6 linked regions of the Kluyveromyces lactis genome follow. The protein of the gene in region 1 interacts with the protein of each later gene in a biochemical or structural test. Links are inferred from orthologs where the notes say so. Each region holds a gene or a part of one and is shown in the gene's direction. Other genes may lie near its edges.

Region 1 (2,092 bases):
TTTTAGAGATCGCCTTAACAACTGGTATGCTGGGATATATATCACAGTTGAGCCAGCTTGGATTCCACTTCATCACAGACTTTATTGATGTGTTCCATTTCCTTGCGTTTATGTTCCAATTGTTCTTCAAATAACATGATTAGCGATTCACGACTTTGGTGCGGTCTATATTCGTTAAGAAGATGGTGAATATTGATGGCTATCACCCTTATCTCGTCAAGTTTTTTCTCATATCTACTTGAATCCACTCCCAATATTCCTATAAGCTCTAGGAAATTTAGTAATAGTGATTTCATTAGTTTTTTCGACTCTTGGATCTTGTTCTCGTAATTTGTCCCACTTTGCGAATCTTGAGGACTAGGTTCAACTTCTGTTGTGGTCCCGTTTTCCAATTCCGTGACAGATTCCCGTTTCCTATATAATTGTTCAATTCCCATCTGTGATAACTCCGGTAGTTCATCCTTAATTTTCCATACATTACCAAATGCTCTGTATGAACCATCCCTGGGTAGTTCTGGCTTCACAAAATATTTCAACTGCTCCCTCTGTTTTGTTGTACATTTCGCTAGTTTTTCTTCATCTTTGCCACATTCTCTAAATAGTTTTGAGTTCTCTTCGGTGAAAAATTGAATGAACGGTGGTGGTGGAGGATACAATGATGATACTTCGTTCTTGTCACTCATGGTCCTTTATATTTTAGCTTCTGACTGGCAGTATTGTCTCTCACTTTCACAATCACTTTCAAAAAAATCTTTTATTGAGAGGGATTTCAATACTTTAAAGGACGGTCGAGGTTCCAGTTTATCTTGAATCTGGACAGATTATGGCCACGGAGGTCTAACACAGGTCTGATATCGCCAACACGCTTTCCTGTGTTCACTGATTTATCACTTGTTTCTGTTTGTGCTGGTTACTATAAGTTGGATTTCCATTTCATGTACAATTTCACATCCGGGTAACAAATGTTTGTATTCACGTGATATGAATATCACTCTTGTCTCTCTTTCAACATGAATTCTAATGTTTCTGAACGTTTGGGCAGTTACGAAAGTCCATAGATCCCATTATAGTCCACAGGGTATATCTTTTGTCATTCATAAGACTACTCTATTCGATCATTAATAGTTTAAAAAAAGGTTTTCACACCCGCGTTTCCAAGGATTGAACGACAGTTAGACCTGGGACTTAGAACGTCTGTTTGTAATCTGTTTTAAAGAAGGAAGGATTTATATTTACCAATAGTAGCTGATCGTTAGGAGATGGCCACGGATTTGGGACCAATAGAGGCACAGAGCGGGACAGAGGGTGCTACTGAGTCAAAGCCCAATTTTGAGATAACGAAATGGACAGCGGTAGCTTTTTGGTCATGGGATATTGACGTTGATAATTGTGCCATTTGCAGAAATCATATTATGGAACCATGTGTAAATTGTCAGCAGGAAGCAACTTTCAACTCGGAGCATGAATGTGTAGCCGCCTGGGGTGAGTGCAACCACGCATTCCACCTACATTGTATTACCCAATGGATCAAGAGCAGAAATGTTTGTCCGTTGGATAATAAACCTTGGAAATTGGCTCGGTGTGGCAAGTGAAGATAGAGTGTTAAGCCTACAAAGATGCATTATCGAAATTTAATATCGCTATTGGACTGTTCGAACCGCAAAAAATGTTACTCAATTTAGATTTCCAATGATTTAATACCAAGCGGATAGTGTGGATTTAATATCTACCATTGGGAAGAAGCTTAGATAATCTGGCTTCTGTGTATATATAGTTACGTAACGAGCTTCTAATGGAATTATCGACAGGTTCGATCGGTCCCAAAACAATAGACAGGACAGCGTTGTTCCATGAATACAACTAGGATGCGTACATTCCTCTTCGATTGCTTCGTTTTTAAGATCAGTATTTGCATTTTGTTTCTAAACATAATGCATATATCATGGGATTTGGTAATACAGTGCGTTTCGGTAGAATTTACCCCAGTGAATCCATTTTGCGCAGTTTTCGTCAAACCTTTTCGCCAGAAGTTCGTAATCAGTACCGTAATTGCCATAAAACTCAATAAAGAAGCAATATTGCCATTTTCTTT
Region 2 (2,737 bases), on another chromosome or scaffold:
TACTTTGGACGAAAACAAATTTCGGCACACAAAGAAAAGCGCGCAGACGAGAAAACATATAGCATCGAGTTGCAACTCCAACACGCCGTCGCGAGATACAAATCTTATAACGTTCCGAATGTGAGGACGGCAGGATCTCAGCAAAACATCCACCTTGAGGTGAATATGTAAGGGAATTAGGCCTGTTGAGCTATGGTGAAGTGCTGTATAGTTCAAAATGGTACGATTCAGACTTGATGAGCGTTATTGCCCTATGGCTCAGTTCGGAAAACCTTACGAGAATGAGAAAAGAAGGAGATGGTGATTGGTGTTCACGTGACCTAAGGTCACGTGAACTTTTCCACTGTTCCTATCGGTGAAAGCGGCGAGTCTAACGTTTGCTGACGCCGAGCAGAATATACTACTGCCCGATGAAGAACTAGTCTAGAGTATAAATAAGAATCTTGAACGTAACAACTGACTACCAGAGTTCTCCGATTCACATTTAATCCTAGTGTTCAGCTTATCAGTTAAAATGCACGCTCTCACAACGATGCGGTAGAAGTGATATTTTGCCGGATGCATTAGATACATTCGAAAAAATTGATGTAATTGGCCCCCGCATTCCCCATCAATTGGAAAATAAACATTCATGCGTAAATGTTGATGCCTTAAATACTGTTACTTTCATCCATGGATTATTAACGCATACCTGGTTGTGCAAATCAACATGAATAATGCCTGGGGACGAAAAGCTTACAAGACGGTAAAAAATATAGAGACATATAGCTATAGTATAAATATCGATTAAACCCCCAACCTGAACAATAGAACGGTATCTTCCAAGAGTACACAACCCAACGGTTTTTGCTTATTTTGTCTTGGGACGGTTTTTCTTGACTTTTCGGCATTCAGCTTGGTTCTTTTTTGTAAACCAGTTTCAGAAGAAATTTAAAAGGTCAAAACACAGACAACTATTAATTTTAATTACAAATTATTGTATTTGCATTTAAATGAGAGTATCAATAAACAGGTGATAAGGAGAGGTTGCATAGACTTTTGGGCGGGTATACTTGTACAAACGCAAAAACTCACACTACTCAGTTGGTATATTGTATTGTCCTATCTTTTGTTTGGCTTTACGTTTCATTACTTTTTTCTTTCTCTTCCTAACGTTTTTGTTAAGTTCTAGCAACATATTATTGTCAAATTTACTCGGAGATATCTTATCACTGAGGAACACCAAGCAACAGTTACTTCTAATCGTCAGCCCTAATAACTGAACTTTCTTGGTCTGGATATATCAGTTTTGGAAAAAGGGGGAAGTTTCAATCAGCACACAGAACATCTTTTTACCATAGAAATACTCTTTCTAAAGTATGAGCGGCAAGAATACTGCAGCTTCTTTGTTATTACGACAATACAGGGAACTCACTGATCCGAAGAAGGCTATTCCTAGTTTCCATATTGCATTAGAAGATGATTCAAACATATTCTTGTGGAACATCGGTGTAATGGTCTTAAATGAGGAATCCATCTACCACGGAGGTTATTTCAAGGCTCAAATGAAATTCCCGGACGATTTCCCATTTTCTCCTCCAACTTTTAGATTTACTCCAGCAATTTACCACCCGAACGTTTACCGTGATGGTAGGTTGTGTATTTCTATCTTACACCAATCGGGGAACCCCACCTCGGATGAGCCCGATGAAGAAACTTGGTCTCCAGTACAGACTGTGGAATCAGTGTTGATTTCTATTGTCTCCTTGTTAGAAGATCCAAATATTTCCTCTCCAGCTAACGTCGACGCTGCTGTTGACTACAAGAAGAATCCGGATCAGTACAAACAAAAGGTAAAACTCGAAGTGGAAAGATCAAAACAGGATATCCCGCAAGGGTTCGTGATGCCAGAATCAACAAAGGCGTATGTTTCCCAAAGAAAGGCAAATGAAGGTATTGACACCATCAAAGAAACCGTTGCCGATAATTTCTGGTACGACAGTGACGAAGGTGATGAAGATGTGGATATCTATGCATACGAGGATTCAGAAGATGAAGAGGATAATGACGATGTTTTCAGCAAAGATTCTTCAAACTTGAATTTCAGCAAAAAAGCTAACAAAAACGATATCGACTCAGATGAAGATGAAGATCTGGTGCCTGAAGAAGCAGAAGATTCTCTAGATGAAAGCGTAATGGATAGAAGAAGTAAATTAATGGAAGAAAGCGAGGAGTTAGAAGATGCAGAAATGAAATGATATGAATCCCTTACAACTTTTTTATTCCCTCAGAAGCAGTGCTTCTCAGCGTATCACATTCATTCACATTTCTTTCCTCACTACTGTCTTGTCTTTCTACTTCAATATACAATTATAAACACACGTTGAAGTTTGGTTACTACTGTAGTGATATACTATTTTGACCTCCAGTATAAATTCATGAACCTGTAACAACTTCAACGTCTTTATTGATTTTGTTTGGAGCATTCGCACCTCTAAATGATGATTGTCATAACCAAACATAAAACTGGAAACTGTCCTTTTTCAATTCACCATAACGCTGAATCTACATTTCAGCCCCTCAGATATTATATTGGAAAGTGAACAACTAACGATGCATCAAGTAACTAATAACTTAATAACACTTTTCGATGACAGTAACCCTAGCCGGTGCTGTGTGCAATATCTATGGAATGTTTTTTCTGGTTTTGGACCTCCATCAGGATATGAGATATAAGGGGGTTGTAAGAAAGACAAAG
Region 3 (3,895 bases), on another chromosome or scaffold:
GACGAAGGTCCAGTCACCACTCTTTGCTTGATGTGTGATAGTCGCATGTGCATATGGTATGGTGTCATGCTTGTCACCAACATCAAGTAATAAAGTTTGACCTCTGACAAGGAAACATTTAGGATCTAAACCTCCTTCCCATTGTAACCCACAACCTGAAGCATTGACCACAATATTAACATCAGGGTAAAGCTCGCAAATATCTTTTAATTTCTCAAGCTTGATTCTCTTTACTCTAATGTTAACGTTCTGTTGCTCACTCTTTTTCATTACCTGGTCGTAAAGGAACAGTAAATACAATGGAGCATTCAAACACCACGTTTCATAGCTACAACCGAAAGTGACACCTGCAGGCAAGTTGGAATCTTGCTGTTGGAATTTTTCCAAGCTGGATCCATTATACCCTGCTCCTAAGCGTTGGTATTCGATGCTCGGATTTTCTAACCAATCGATCCCGTTCATGAATTCAACAGTGGCCTCACTCAACCACTGCTTAGATTTACGTTTGAAATAGTTATAAGTCACTCTGGTATATTCACTCTCACGTTTATCCGAAGCATAATCAGAATCTCTGTGTGGGAATGGTCTAAAATGAGCACCTGCCCATGGTGATGTGAACGTATGATTGATTGGCTGATCTTGCGGGAATTGTTCGGATACAATTGTTATAGTCCTGATATCGGGTCTTGTTTCCAGTAGTCTCAGCGCACTTGACAAACCAATAACACCGGCACCAACTATACAAACTGACATGCTCCAATATTCTGCTTTCTCAATTAACTAAACCTCGGCCGTGGCTGCCTATTTCCTGTTGTTCAAATTTATGAAACTTCTATTCATATCATATGTAAATCTAGTCAGATGTTTCATTCGATCGTCTTTTATGCAAATTGGAAATCACATTCAAACAAGAAAAGACGACTCAAACCCCCACATCTTAACCCGTAATAAGCAGCCAACTACATAGTGTTTGCGCCGGGAATTAACCAAAAAAATCGGTAGATTAACTAGGAACAGCTTCAAGGCATTTTTGTCCTGTCAGTATCGTATATCACCATTACAACCGAGATCGCTGCTCTGGTAATAATTACATTCTAACACGTGACCTGTGTTGCATGCAAGGTAAATACCTATGTAGGTCTAAAAGATAGAATGGTTTAGCTTAATATATTAGCCTCAAAGCGTTTAATAGCTAACTAATAGATGGCGAGAGTATCTCGCATAGATATAGGGACTGATAACATTGATTCAACAAATCTATGTTTATTTGCACTGTTATCGGCACTCTCAACCAAAATCAAAATTAAACTCTTGTACGATTTCTTTGTACAAAACGAAGTCACATCAACATATTGACTGACAGACGGAATATTGTTTAGCAGAAAGATAAGGAGTAACGGCAGGTGTGGGGTAGTCGTAAGTAACTTCCATTAGTTAAGGGTATAAGTAACATGGATCTCAATAGGCATGCGACCCCAGGGGTACCACAGTATCCTCTACAGAATGTTCCCGTTCCATACCGGTACCAACTTCATCCTCAGCCAGCGTCTCAGAGTAAACGAAGTATACATTATCCCCTTCAACAGCTTGACGACGATTCTGACAGCGACGGTCAGTATCACAAAAAGTTAAAGCCAAATCAGCAGGCTGTTTCCAGTCCCAACTTGATCGAGGATCAAGATGGGCCGTTACCAATATCGCCGATTGCTTCCCCATGTCACACACCTGAAGTGGAGGAACCAAGTATTGACGAAGTCATAGGGACTACAGTAGCTAGACTCAGCAGTACGACATCTCATCCAAATGCTTTAACAAGTCTTATATTTGGGCTTGTTTCCAACATGGATAGAACTCAGCTTTCAGATTTGGTCAGTATAATAACCGATAACTTGAAACGAGATTTGTTCCAATCACTACCTAATGAAATCACTGTGAAGATCCTATTAAATTTATCTTCGGAAGACATCTTCGCATGTTTGTTGGTTAACAGAAATTGGAATAGGTTAATCGAGGAGGCGCCTGTTGTTTGGAAATGGCTAATGCTTAACGAAGGTTTTGTCACCGAAGATCAGTTCCCGTCGTACTGTAACAGTTTGCCCAGTAAATATAAGCATTTGATCAACCCTGACGACAGATTTAGATTAGATTTCCTGGAGAACAACTGGTGTCTCCAGAACTGGTACGATCCAAACTATAAACCAGGGAGGACTTGTCTTGATGGTCATAGTACCAATGTTGTAACATGTCTACAATTTGAAAACAATTATATTATTACCGGAGCAGACGATAAGAAGATCAACGTGTATGACGCTGAGAATGATCTGTTCCTATTAGAATTAAACGGACATGAGGGCGGTGTGTGGGCACTGAAATTTGTGGACGGTAAGATTTTAGTTAGTGGTTCCACAGATAGAAGTGTGAGAATCTGGAACATCGAAACTGGTAAATGTACCCATGTTTTCAAAGGACACACATCGACGGTTAGATGTTTAGAAGTGGTTGAATATGGTGACAGCAAATACATTGTAACGGGGTCTAGAGACAATACCTTGCATGTGTGGAAACTTCCCCCCATGAAAGAGCTAGACAAGGGATCGCAGGAACCTATTTTCTACAGGACACCAGAGGAAAACCCATATTTTGTTGGGGTATTAAGAGGCCACATGTCTTCGGTAAGGACAGTGTCTGGTCATGGTAGAATTGTCATAAGTGGTTCATATGACCACAATTTGATGGTATGGGATATCATTAGTATGAAATTACTATATATTCTAACCGGTCACACCGACCGTGTGTACTCGACCATTTATGACTACAAGAGGAACAGGTGCATATCAGCAAGTATGGATACCACAGTGATGATCTGGGATCTCGAAAACATTGAAAATAATGGGACAACTACTACAATCAATGACGGTGCATCGATCAAAGTGGTTGGAAGCATGAAATGCCTTTATGGACATACAGCTTTAGTTGGTCTACTTTGCCTATCCAATAAATTTTTGGTTAGCGCTGCTGCAGACGGTTCGATACGCGGCTGGGATCCAAATGATTATTCAAGAAAGTTTTCGTTCCATCATACAAACCTGGCTGCTATCACTTCATTCTCCATGAACGATAACATTTTGGTTAGTGGATCGGAACGACAATTCAATGTATATAATTTAAGGACCGGTAAGCTGATACACAGGAAGCTACTCACAGATTCGGAACAAGTGTGGGGTATCAAATTAAATAACAGAAAATTAGTCGCTGCGATCGAGTCAGTGGGACACAGTTACGTAGAAATCTTGGATTTTGCTGCTCGGAATGGTGACAAGACTATCAGAACCCGGACTAGAACAAGAGTCGACCATCAAATATATCGAACGTCACTTTGGTCTTCCACTCTTTAACATTAACTATCAATTTAACTTGCATTACCACATCTGGTATCTCGCCGTATGGAAATATTCTACCATCAAATAAACTCTGTAATACCAATCCTCTGTATCTTTGTTCTCTTCTCTTCTCTTCAATGCCAGCAGACATAAAAAAGTTGTATGATTAATTTATCTACGGCATCACCTATCCCTAAGACATATATAGGAGTTTCAATACTATTTCTACGTGTTACAAACTTTTCAGCCACCCCAGTACTGGTGGATACAGTCGACTACTATACCAGACATATACAGTTCTCAACATTTACCTATCTATGTCTTCTTATCAAGATAGGGTCATCCCTAGGTGTGGAAAATTATGCCAAGGAATTAATCGGGTGTGTTTTGCGATGAGGAAAAAAGTAAGTTGCACATTGAAAAAAATGTCAAATTTACACAATATAAGTACCTCTTTCGATTTTGTCCACCTATTCTTGCAACATTCCAGTGCCTACTCAAGCATAGCGTCTTGG
Region 4 (2,720 bases), on another chromosome or scaffold:
GCTCTAACTTTTCAAGATGTACGGAACTACCATCAGTTGATGATGCAATTTTGAACCGTTCATTATTTTGGAATGGAAATATCCCGAGTAGTAGCGTTTTTATAATATCCGGTCTTGGATTCAAATATACTCTTACCGCCTTTGATAGCGATCGGAGACAAATGCCCATCGGATCAATTATCTTTAAACATTTCACCGTCTTAATGTAATAATACAGTATTTCGCAAGTTAAAAGACTTGAGGTGAGAAACCTTGATACAAATCCGTGATATAAGGTCTCAAGCACTTTTGTGCCGACAGTTTTTATGTCTTTATTCAGGATGCTCCTCAATTCAAGCAAGCATTTCCTCGAAGCAGGAAATTTCGGTACAATATCCGTATAAAACTCGTCGCATTTATATTTGATATAGTTTTTCTCGAAAGATTGATATATTATGGCTGTCAATTCATGATCATCTTCTATAATCAACAACTTGGAGAACTTGGACCAAAAATCTTTGATGAAATGGTTATAAGTGTTCATTACTAAGTATCGATCGTCAATCTTATTTTTCATTAGTTTCTGTGACATCTGATCTACTTTTAGGTTTATTATCCTAACATTGAACTCAATCTCTTGTCCATCAAATGCCGGTGCCAACCATTGATACATTTGATCAAACCTAACTAGATCATTATCGAGAATATGTGACTCTAATTTCGCATGCAATTGTTTCCTGAATTCATTATTCTTTTTCATCAACAACCGTTTGAATGAAATCATCTCCTCCTTTATCCAGTATACTGACGTTCCAAACATGAATTCGACCTTAGATATGTATAGTTTCTCTAGCTTGATCATATCCTTCCAGTTGACTATATCATCAAATTGTAAGAAGAAATGCGTTCGTATAAGCGTGAGGTAGTACTGCTCGATGAGAAACCGCGTTCTTTCATCGCTCTGCTCTAACACAACTTTCAAACATTGTTTAATTCGTAATGTCGGTATTTGTGGTTGGAATGTGGGATTGAGCCACGCAAGAACCATATCTACCTCTTCTTCTAAATTCGAAGCTAGGTTAAGTAGAATTTTCTCATGAAGTAATTTAAGTTCGTCATCAGTCTTAGTCATTCGGTCAACGGTGCTGGGTCCCTTTAGTCCTGCTTCTCATCACTTTTCACTATGACCATTACGTTTGTTGACATATTTTAAATATACAGACAAGTTCATTTTAAGTGAAATTACATGTTTTACTTCATATTCGTTTCGAGTTTTAGGGTAAAGAAGAAAGCAATCTACTCGCGACAAAACGCCAGAGCAAGCGATCATTTACTCGTGGATAACAACCCTTCAGAAATTTCATCGTATTGTGTTTTTATAATGGTATGTTTTTTACTATGCCTCTACCCTCTGGTCAGGTGAATGACACCTTTACTAACAAATGCTAATCAAATAATCATTTGGAAAAATAGGAGAAAGAGTTCATGAACCTCACAGGATGCACGTACTCTGTTGCACAGGAATACCTTCGAAAGAATGGAGGGCGTGTCGAGTACGCTTTGAACGATTATTATGATAATGTGGATACCATTGGAGGTATGCGTCAATCTTACAATCCCAGTTTAGTGGCTATCTTTGAGAAGTACTCGAATGGCGTTTCGGCAACAGAATGGGACTCTTCTGGGCTAATACGGTTTATTGAAGACCTCGGTATATCGATAGAGGACCCAATCACGCTATGTCTTTCTCAAATGCTATGCATCGACGATTTAACAAAACCAGTATCTCGAGAACAATTCCTAAATGCCTGGTCAGATTTATGTTGCGACACTTTAAGAAAGATGAAAGCCTATTTACATACGCTAGAAGAGAGACTGGAGACGGACAAAGATTATTTCAAATCAATCTATTCCTACACTTTCCCATTGAATACAGACGAGGGATCTCGTCATTTACCTAAAGATGTCGCAATAGAATACTGGAATATTTTCTTTAAAGACAATAAATATGCGTTGAAAATCTCCAAGGAGAGACTTAATTCATGGCTTGAATTCATCAATTCTGACGACTCGGATCCAAGGAAACAGAACATCTCAAACGATATATGGTTGATGTTCTATAAGTTCATTGAACAATACCCCAATGACGAAAGTTTAAAACAAAACTATGATGAAATGGCTGCTTGGCCGCTACTTATAGACGAATATTACGAATTCTTGGAAGAAAATGACAAGCTGTGATGCAGCGCAAACACCTATATCGCTTATGAACATATTCATAGATACATATATTCATATATACGCATTGTGTATGTTGTCAGGGTAACACTTGTCTTCCTATTCCTTTCAGCATCAAAATTCAAAAATATTTCAAAGATCAACAAGTGAATAACAATCGAAAGTAGTTGCCGCGAGGTTAAAGCAAGGGCAAAACGGGGGCAAAGAAGGCCAGCACGAGGGTATTTCGACACTTAAAGTGGGCTTGCGGTGTGCATTTCGGATTACGAACCAAGATACGGACAATGTCAGGCCAAGCAGGTAATGTACAGCTGCAGAACCTCACGCCAGCTTCTATGCAGCAATTGGCGGATAGACTAAAATCGTTAGTTAACGAAGCTAAGCGAATTGGTGTAGATACCAAGGAAGGGAAAGAGCTATTGAGACAAGCGGCCCGTATTAAGGCTTTGTACGAGGCTTACAGTAAACAGAGGCAGCAGCAGGCCCAAGCGCAGGCTGGAGCA
Region 5 (4,290 bases), on another chromosome or scaffold:
GCGAAACAATCTTCGGAAACTCATTCAAGTGACGATGGGAGGTTTCATTCTATTTTAAACAAGGGGAGAAATAGTGTGAATAGTAAGAAAAACTCTTGGGCTACCCTTGAACAAAGAAAAAAACAACAATGGTTACCAAGACTACGAAGACTTTTATTGCAAAGTCAATATCTACCTTTGTCGTTGAGATTTCTCATTGTGATACTCTGCATAATCTCTCTTGGCCTAGCAAGTAGAATATACCAGAACTCGGATTCCACTGTCGAATCCTTCGAATCATCAATACCTCAACAACCAAGTACTATCATGGCGCTATGTGTTAATTCCATCGCTATATTATATTTGGTTTATATCGGATATGACGAATTTTCAGGGAAACCGCTAGGAATTAGAGATCCTATGACTAAAGTCAGACTAATTATGCTGGACCTTTTATTCATCATATTTTCAAGTGCTAATTTATCGCTTACCTTCAATACATTATATGATAATCGATGGGTCTGCACATCTACTGGAACGTCACAAGTTGATCCTCCGCACGTAGGATATATATGTGACAAACAAAGGGCGCTCGCGGCGTTCCTTTTCTTGGTCTTGGTCACTTGGGTTGTAACGTTCAGTATTAGCATATTAAGGGTCGTGGAAAGAGTCAGTTCTGGTGCTCCAAGACCCTAAGACTATTCTTGAAACGGGCCCTTCCGACTTAAGACGCCTGTAGATTAATTGTTTTAAATAAATCATTATTCCATGAGAGTACATAATTTGTTTACAAACCCAACAAAAGAAAATCAAAAGTACCAAAGAAAACCTTATAAACATATAAGTTTGGGCCCTGTATTAAACAACATAATTAGACGACTGCAGTATGCTAAAGTATATTTGCCGAAAGCTGTAATCCTTACCCTCTTTTAAGTACTTTAATAATAAGATCAGATTCATATTGAGGAACAATTCAGGATTTTTTGATATTCCAATAATGTGTGGCAAACGAAAACAAAAATATAAGAAATTATAGTAACATAGTATGCAATTATATAAATCAGTATATAACAAGTAAGGCTGTCAAAAAGGGTCAAAATATCGAACAACTCGGAGATACTTCACGATAGAAGCAATATAAAGTTTTCCTGTGTGACCCTTTTTTATAGGATCCCGCCAACAAGTGGTGCATTTCATATTTAGCAGTGAAGGCGCTTTCTATTCTGTTTTATCCTTTCTTTCGATTCATTGAAAAGGGTTGCTCGACTAATTGGGACTCGAACTGTATTTTCTATCGCTGCTGATTTCAGTTTACTACCAAATCTTTATTTACAAGTACCGCTACCTGCGCCCTTGGGAATACTATTATTCTAAAGCGTATATTTAACTGGGTTAGTGGGAAGCAAGTCTCATTAACGCTTCAGAAAAGATAACTTAGGCATCGTTCAATAGAAATATTACTGGTAAAAGAAACTACACGTGCAATCAATAAGAAACAAGTCTAATAAGCTATGGCAGACACATTACCTAGATCAGATGATTTGGAAGCAACATGGAACTTTGTGAAGCCTGGGATCGACCAGATCTTGGATCGTGATGGTACATCGGATATAAAGACAAACAGAGTTCAGAAAGTTCTTTCCCCAAGGATGTACATGGAGGTATACACGGCGATTTATAATTACTGTGTCAACAAGTCACGTTCTACAGGTCATTTCCAATCTGATATTATAGGGAAGCAAATGAATCAATCTTCGATTCTTGTTGGAGGAGAAATCTATGAGAACTTAAAGAATTATTTGAAAGATTACATATCGAATTTAAAGAAAGATGATAATGTAACGTTTTTGAATTTCTACGTGAGACGCTGGGAAAGATTTACAATCGGAGCTATTTTCTTAAATCGGGTCTTCGACTATATGAACCGTTACTGGGTGCAAAAGGAAAGAAGCGATGGTAAAAGACACATTTTCGATGCACATACTTTGTGCTTGATGACGTGGAAAGAAGTTATGTTTGAAACACATAAGACGGAACTCGTTACTGAAATATTCGATCAATTGGATTTGCAGCGGAGGGGTGAATTAGTGAATAAATCTGCTATTACAATAGCAATAAAATCCTTTGTGATATTAGGTATCGATCCATCAGACTTAAAGAAGTTGAATTTGAATGTGTATATTCAAAACTTCGAACAGCCATTCCTACAGAAGACAAAAGAATACTACACGAAGATGTCCAACGAATTCTTAGACTCTCACAGTGTCTCTGAATACATCGAAAAGGCAAATGAATGCATAATCTTCGAAGAAAAGGACATGATTTTATATTTGGATTCCCATACATCGGCACCATTGTCTACAGCTTTGAACCAAGTTTTGATTGCTGATCATGCCGATAAGTTAAAAAAAGAGTTTATTTTACTTTTGGATAAGCAAGATCAAAGATTGATTAAGCTCATATACGAATTGATGAAACGCGATTACCGAATGTTACCAGATTTGGTGGATACTTTTGATATGTACATCAAGAGAGTCGGAAATGAAGAAATCGATAAATTAATTGATGCACATAATAAGAGTGCAGCACAAGATTCAAACGCTAAAAGGCAACCGGGATTATCACCTAGAGATTACTTGAAATGTTTAATAGGAGTTTACAAACTCTTTTACAATATCACCATAGAATGTTTTGAAAATCATCCTGCTTTTGCTAAGGCTTTAGACTATGGATGCCGTTGCTTCATTAACAATAACTCATTCGCTATTCCTCCTGGTTCACCTAAATTTGCGACTTCTAGAGCTCCTGAGATGTTGGCGAAATACAGTGACCAGTTGCTCAAAAAGTCGACCAAGAATAATGAACAGGTAGATTTGACCGTGGATGATATCATGACTGTCTTTAAGTTCTTGGCCGACAAGGATGCATTTGAGATGCATTACCGAAAAAATTTAGCAAAAAGATTAATTCATGGATCATCAAAATCAGAAGCTGATGAAGAAATCATTATCCAAAGACTACAGTCCGAGAACAGTCTTGAATACACCAGCAAGATTACCAAGATGCTACAAGATGTCAAATTATCTAAAAACTTGCATGATGAATTTTCCACGTTCATTTCACAAGATGGGAATAATACTACTAGCGCCGCAACTTTCAGAAGCAAAGTTCCTGAATTAGAACCTCTAATTCTTGCAGACAATGTATGGCCCTTCAGCTATCAACCAACAGAATTCGCATTACCACCAGTTCTTGAACATAGTAAGAACAAATTGGAAACCATGTATACTGACAAGCATTCTGGTAGAATATTGAAATGGCTATGGCCAATGTCTCGTGGTGAAATCAAGGCACATATTGGTAAACCAGGCAAACCACCATTCCAATTCACTGTGACTATTTTCCAAATGGCGATTCTTACCTTGTTTAATGATATATCTACGTTGACCTTTGAACAAATACAAGAGAGAACCAATTTGAAGGCTACACAGATTGCGTCTAATATGTATCCGTTTGTGAAGATGAAACTATTAATACAATCTCCAGAAGGGGTGGAAAGTATGATCAAGTTAGATACAAAGTACACCTTAAACAAACCCTATCGATTATCGAAAACTAGTGTTAATTTTGCAGCCGCTGTGAAAAATGATCTAACCTTTACTGCAACCGTTAATGGATCTGCATTAGATGAAACAGAGGCATCTGAGCAAAAGAAAGCAGAAAAGGAACTAAATCAACAAAGATTGATGTTCTTAAGAGCATGCATAGTGAGAATTATGAAGGCAAAGAGAAAACTACCACACAGTTCATTGATGAACGAGTGTATTGCCGAATCTCAACAGAGATTCAACGCCAAGGTGTCCATGATCAAAAAAGCTGTCGACAATCTAATAGAACAAGAGTATTTGAAAAGGACAGACGACGGTGAATGCTATGAATATCTAGCGTAAACGCTCACTTTTTTATCCACCTTTTACTTCGCCATACATATGTATAAGAAATGTATATGTATCAACATATATTTCGCAACCATTCGACCATTCGACCAAAGGTCAACCTTGGGCCCCATATTTTCAAGCATGAATATTCCCAAGAAAAAAAGAGAGACATCATGAAAGGACCGACGAGTATACTATTCATTACTCAATAGCCAAACCTAAATGCTTGGGTAGCCCTCTCTGCTCTCTTGCTGCTCTCACTACTCTCAGTGACTACCTTAGCATCATTCGGAAGGTGTTTGTCAATACCTGCTGCAAAAATCTACGTTCATCGGATTTAAAATCCACAGGAATATTCACGAAAATTGGTCAT
Region 6 (2,428 bases), on another chromosome or scaffold:
AGCAAAATAAGTTTCTGAAATGGATATTTCCCAATTGACAAGAGTAAATCTGATTCGGGCTCATTTGCTGTTCGAGTAATTGAAATTATAGGCCCATCCGATTTGAACCATGTATATGCCTTGGGGCCCCCTCCATTATTGTTGCCAGTATCAAAAATCATTACTGAACCATTTCTGAATCCAATGAGGAATACATCCTGCCCAAGCAAGATACAGCTCATTGCGTCGCCGAATTTTTTCGGAAGTTTATTCTCTTTTGAAGTCTTCAATCGAGTTCCGTTATATTGAATCAACTGGTACGCTCGGGATGATAGAAACAGAAGATATGTATCTGTCTCATTTTCAAATGAGTTCACATCAATAACTTCAGGTAGTTTCAACTTTCCTCCTGCCATTATTTTCTCTGTGTTGAAATTGAAATCATTGAAGCGGTTTATACTGATGGTAAATTGGTCGCATGTTTTGAAGTACGTTACCGTTTCATGGGCGGATGAGTCTCTATTAAATGAAACTTTGAAGGAATCATCAGACTCATCGATAGATAATTCAAAGAGACGGAAACTTGCATCGTTCAGTATAATGGAGTGACCAGTTCGTCCCATTTGGATTTCACTGGGCCCCTGCTGAGAGATGAATGAGGGCAAAGTGTACGTAGTCGCCAGTTGAAGTGTTTTATTCTGAAACCTGAACCATTCGGGACGCGGTAGTGGATGGCCTTCTATGAGTGCATCTACGCATTTCACGTACTCTTTGTGTGCCACTGACCTGTTAAGACCATCTGGCAACTTTGATTCCTTTTTGTTCTTTCTATCACCAGCTTGTTCTTTGAAATATCTCTTCCTTACAGGATCATATGTCAAACCTGGCAACTGCGGCACGCTCATCTATAAAATATTTGGATGGTCACCACCAAGTGAAGGTCCTGCTTCACTAGGGAGTGGGCTATCTCTACTATATCTTCCTTTTTCTTCAAAGCTCATCACATTGGGATCAAACCTTATTTTCAATATTCAGTTAGATGCGAATATTTCAGTTATAACGCTTAGGAAGATTAGTCCTTTTTAAGGGAAACGCATCAATATTTCAGTTGTTGCGTGAACAGATACTGTTCTTTGTAATATGAATCTGGTGGCCCTTATGGTGACCAGTGAGCAATTAGATAACCGTAGCTTCTTTCGTCCTCTTTCCTTGTCGACCTTTTACGTTTTGATAGTAGTTATATGTATTTCGGTATGCAATGAAAAATCCAAATTTGAGAAAGAACTACTGATCCCAGAAGAAACCTTTTTATTTGAATAAAGGGCAGGCTTCGTACAACGGATATAAACTGGTACCACTCTGTATCAACTTCAAATTATCAATTTTCATAATCAATGCTCAAACTTCGAGCTCTAGCAGAGGCCAAGGCGAAAGCTAAGGAAGGGCAGGGACAAGAAACTACACCACAAGTCATCAAGCCATCATTGATAAGACTTAAGAAGGATTTAGAGAACATCGATCTCTCAGAACAGATATGTGAATATACTACATATTTAGATGAGAATCCAATGAGGGTCAATCTGGCAATTAAGCCAGATATCGGCTACTATGCTGGTGGGACATATTACTTCAATGTATTCATTAAGGATACTTACCCGATGGAACCACCAGTGGTGAAATGCATGCATAGGATATACCATCCTAATATCGATATAGATGGGAACGTGTGTTTGAATCTCCTTAGAGAGGACTGGACACCAGCATTAGATATTCAAAGTATCATCATCGGGATACTTTTCCTATTCCATGAACCAAATGGTAGGGATCCCTTGAATAAAGATGCAGCAAAGACGTTAATTGAAGATCCATTACGGTTCGAAAATAAGGTGAACCACAGCTTAAGAGGGAACAATATAGATGGAGTTTGGTATGATAAAATAATTTATTAATAGTTAAAATTATAATGTAATGACACATTTTTGTTCAACCAGAAAAGAGAAAGATATTCATTGCATTGTCTAACCTAAAAGAGAAGAGAGCATACACAGTATAGAAAAGTGAGTGAGTGATAGTAATTATATATAAGTAGGCGTGTGTGCGTGTGATTATTACTCAGACTCCGATTCTCAAGTAATAAAAAGGGGGAGGGTAAAAAAGAGTGTGATATGGGTAATATACCACATTAGCATAAAATAAGGTTCGAAGGAAAAAATTGACGGACTTCATCATCATAAAACAGATGTAAAGAAAAGTTACTTTATTCTTCCAAAAGCCAGTTTCGAAAGAACGCCGTAATTAAAAATCCAATTAAAAGAACAATGCGAAAACTTCTTCATCAGCTAAATAACGGTGTGAAACGAGTGTCAAATTTTAACCCAGAGAAGTGAAAGCTTTATGATTTGTGTAGAGGTAGCAGTCATAAGCAGAGAGGAAAATCTTATACTCTCAC

The links.
Region 2: the proteins of HRT1 (region 1) and CDC34 form a complex in vitro, tested with the Saccharomyces cerevisiae proteins (21 studies listed by BioGRID, with this or other methods). The link is inferred for Kluyveromyces lactis from reciprocal best matches to the Saccharomyces cerevisiae genes HRT1 and CDC34.
Region 3: the proteins of HRT1 (region 1) and CDC4 form a complex in vitro, tested with the Saccharomyces cerevisiae proteins (2 studies listed by BioGRID). The link is inferred for Kluyveromyces lactis from reciprocal best matches to the Saccharomyces cerevisiae genes HRT1 and CDC4.
Region 4: the proteins of HRT1 (region 1) and DCN1 form a complex in vitro, tested with the Saccharomyces cerevisiae proteins (2 studies listed by BioGRID). The link is inferred for Kluyveromyces lactis from reciprocal best matches to the Saccharomyces cerevisiae genes HRT1 and DCN1.
Region 5: the proteins of HRT1 (region 1) and CDC53 form a complex in vitro, tested with the Saccharomyces cerevisiae proteins (5 studies listed by BioGRID, with this or other methods). The link is inferred for Kluyveromyces lactis from reciprocal best matches to the Saccharomyces cerevisiae genes HRT1 and CDC53.
Region 6: the proteins of HRT1 (region 1) and UBC12 form a complex in vitro, tested with the Saccharomyces cerevisiae proteins (2 studies listed by BioGRID). The link is inferred for Kluyveromyces lactis from reciprocal best matches to the Saccharomyces cerevisiae genes HRT1 and UBC12.

Annotation. Positions count from the first base shown.
Region 1 is NC_006041.1:650,215-652,306, forward strand, and holds HRT1 (SCF ubiquitin ligase complex subunit HRT1), read left to right. Parts: upstream 1-1,259; coding exon 1,260-1,592; downstream 1,593-2,092. Other genes in the region: mediator complex subunit MED7, read right to left, coding at 42-683; prephenate dehydratase PHA2, read right to left, coding at 1,941-2,092. UniProt on the Saccharomyces cerevisiae protein: Core component of multiple cullin-RING-based E3 ubiquitin-protein ligase complexes (CRLs), which mediate the ubiquitination of target proteins.
Region 2 is NC_006040.1:771,437-774,173, forward strand, and holds CDC34 (SCF E2 ubiquitin-protein ligase catalytic subunit CDC34), read left to right. Parts: upstream 1-1,358; coding exon 1,359-2,237; downstream 2,238-2,737. UniProt on the Saccharomyces cerevisiae protein: Catalyzes the covalent attachment of ubiquitin to other proteins. Capable, in vitro, to ubiquitinate histone H2A. Mediates the initiation of DNA replication (transition of G1 to S phase in cell cycle).
Region 3 is NC_006040.1:647,484-651,378, reverse strand, and holds CDC4 (SCF ubiquitin ligase complex subunit CDC4), read left to right. Parts: upstream 1-1,451; coding exon 1,452-3,395; downstream 3,396-3,895. Other genes in the region: KLLA0_D07568g (FAD-dependent oxidoreductase), read right to left, coding at 1-753. UniProt on the Saccharomyces cerevisiae protein: Substrate recognition component of a SCF (SKP1-CUL1-F-box protein) E3 ubiquitin-protein ligase complex which mediates the ubiquitination and subsequent proteasomal degradation of target proteins. Recognizes and binds to phosphorylated target proteins.
Region 4 is NC_006040.1:1,374,428-1,377,147, forward strand, and holds DCN1 (NEDD8 ligase DCN1), read left to right. Parts: upstream 1-1,225; coding exon 1,226-1,363; intron 1,364-1,452; coding exon 1,453-2,220; downstream 2,221-2,720. Other genes in the region: APC2 (anaphase promoting complex subunit 2), read right to left, coding at 1-1,111; TAF12 (Taf12p), read left to right, coding at 2,502-2,720. UniProt on the Saccharomyces cerevisiae protein: Required for neddylation of cullin components of SCF-type E3 ubiquitin ligase complexes. Neddylation of cullins play an essential role in the regulation of SCF-type complexes activity.
Region 5 is NC_006042.1:536,431-540,720, forward strand, and holds CDC53 (cullin CDC53), read left to right. Parts: upstream 1-1,490; coding exon 1,491-3,929; downstream 3,930-4,290. Other genes in the region: SRF1 (phospholipase D regulator), read left to right, coding at 1-675. UniProt on the Saccharomyces cerevisiae protein: Core component of multiple cullin-RING-based SCF (SKP1-CUL1-F-box) E3 ubiquitin-protein ligase complexes which mediate the ubiquitination and subsequent proteasomal degradation of target proteins.
Region 6 is NC_006039.1:1,509,385-1,511,812, reverse strand, and holds UBC12 (NEDD8-conjugating protein UBC12), read left to right. Parts: upstream 1-1,373; coding exon 1,374-1,928; downstream 1,929-2,428. Other genes in the region: KLLA0_C17270g (uncharacterized protein), read right to left, coding at 1-884; DPA10 (Dpa10p), read right to left, coding at 2,417-2,428. UniProt on the Saccharomyces cerevisiae protein: Accepts the ubiquitin-like protein NEDD8/RUB1 from the UBA3-ULA1 E1 complex and catalyzes its covalent attachment to other proteins. The major substrate is CDC53/Cullin.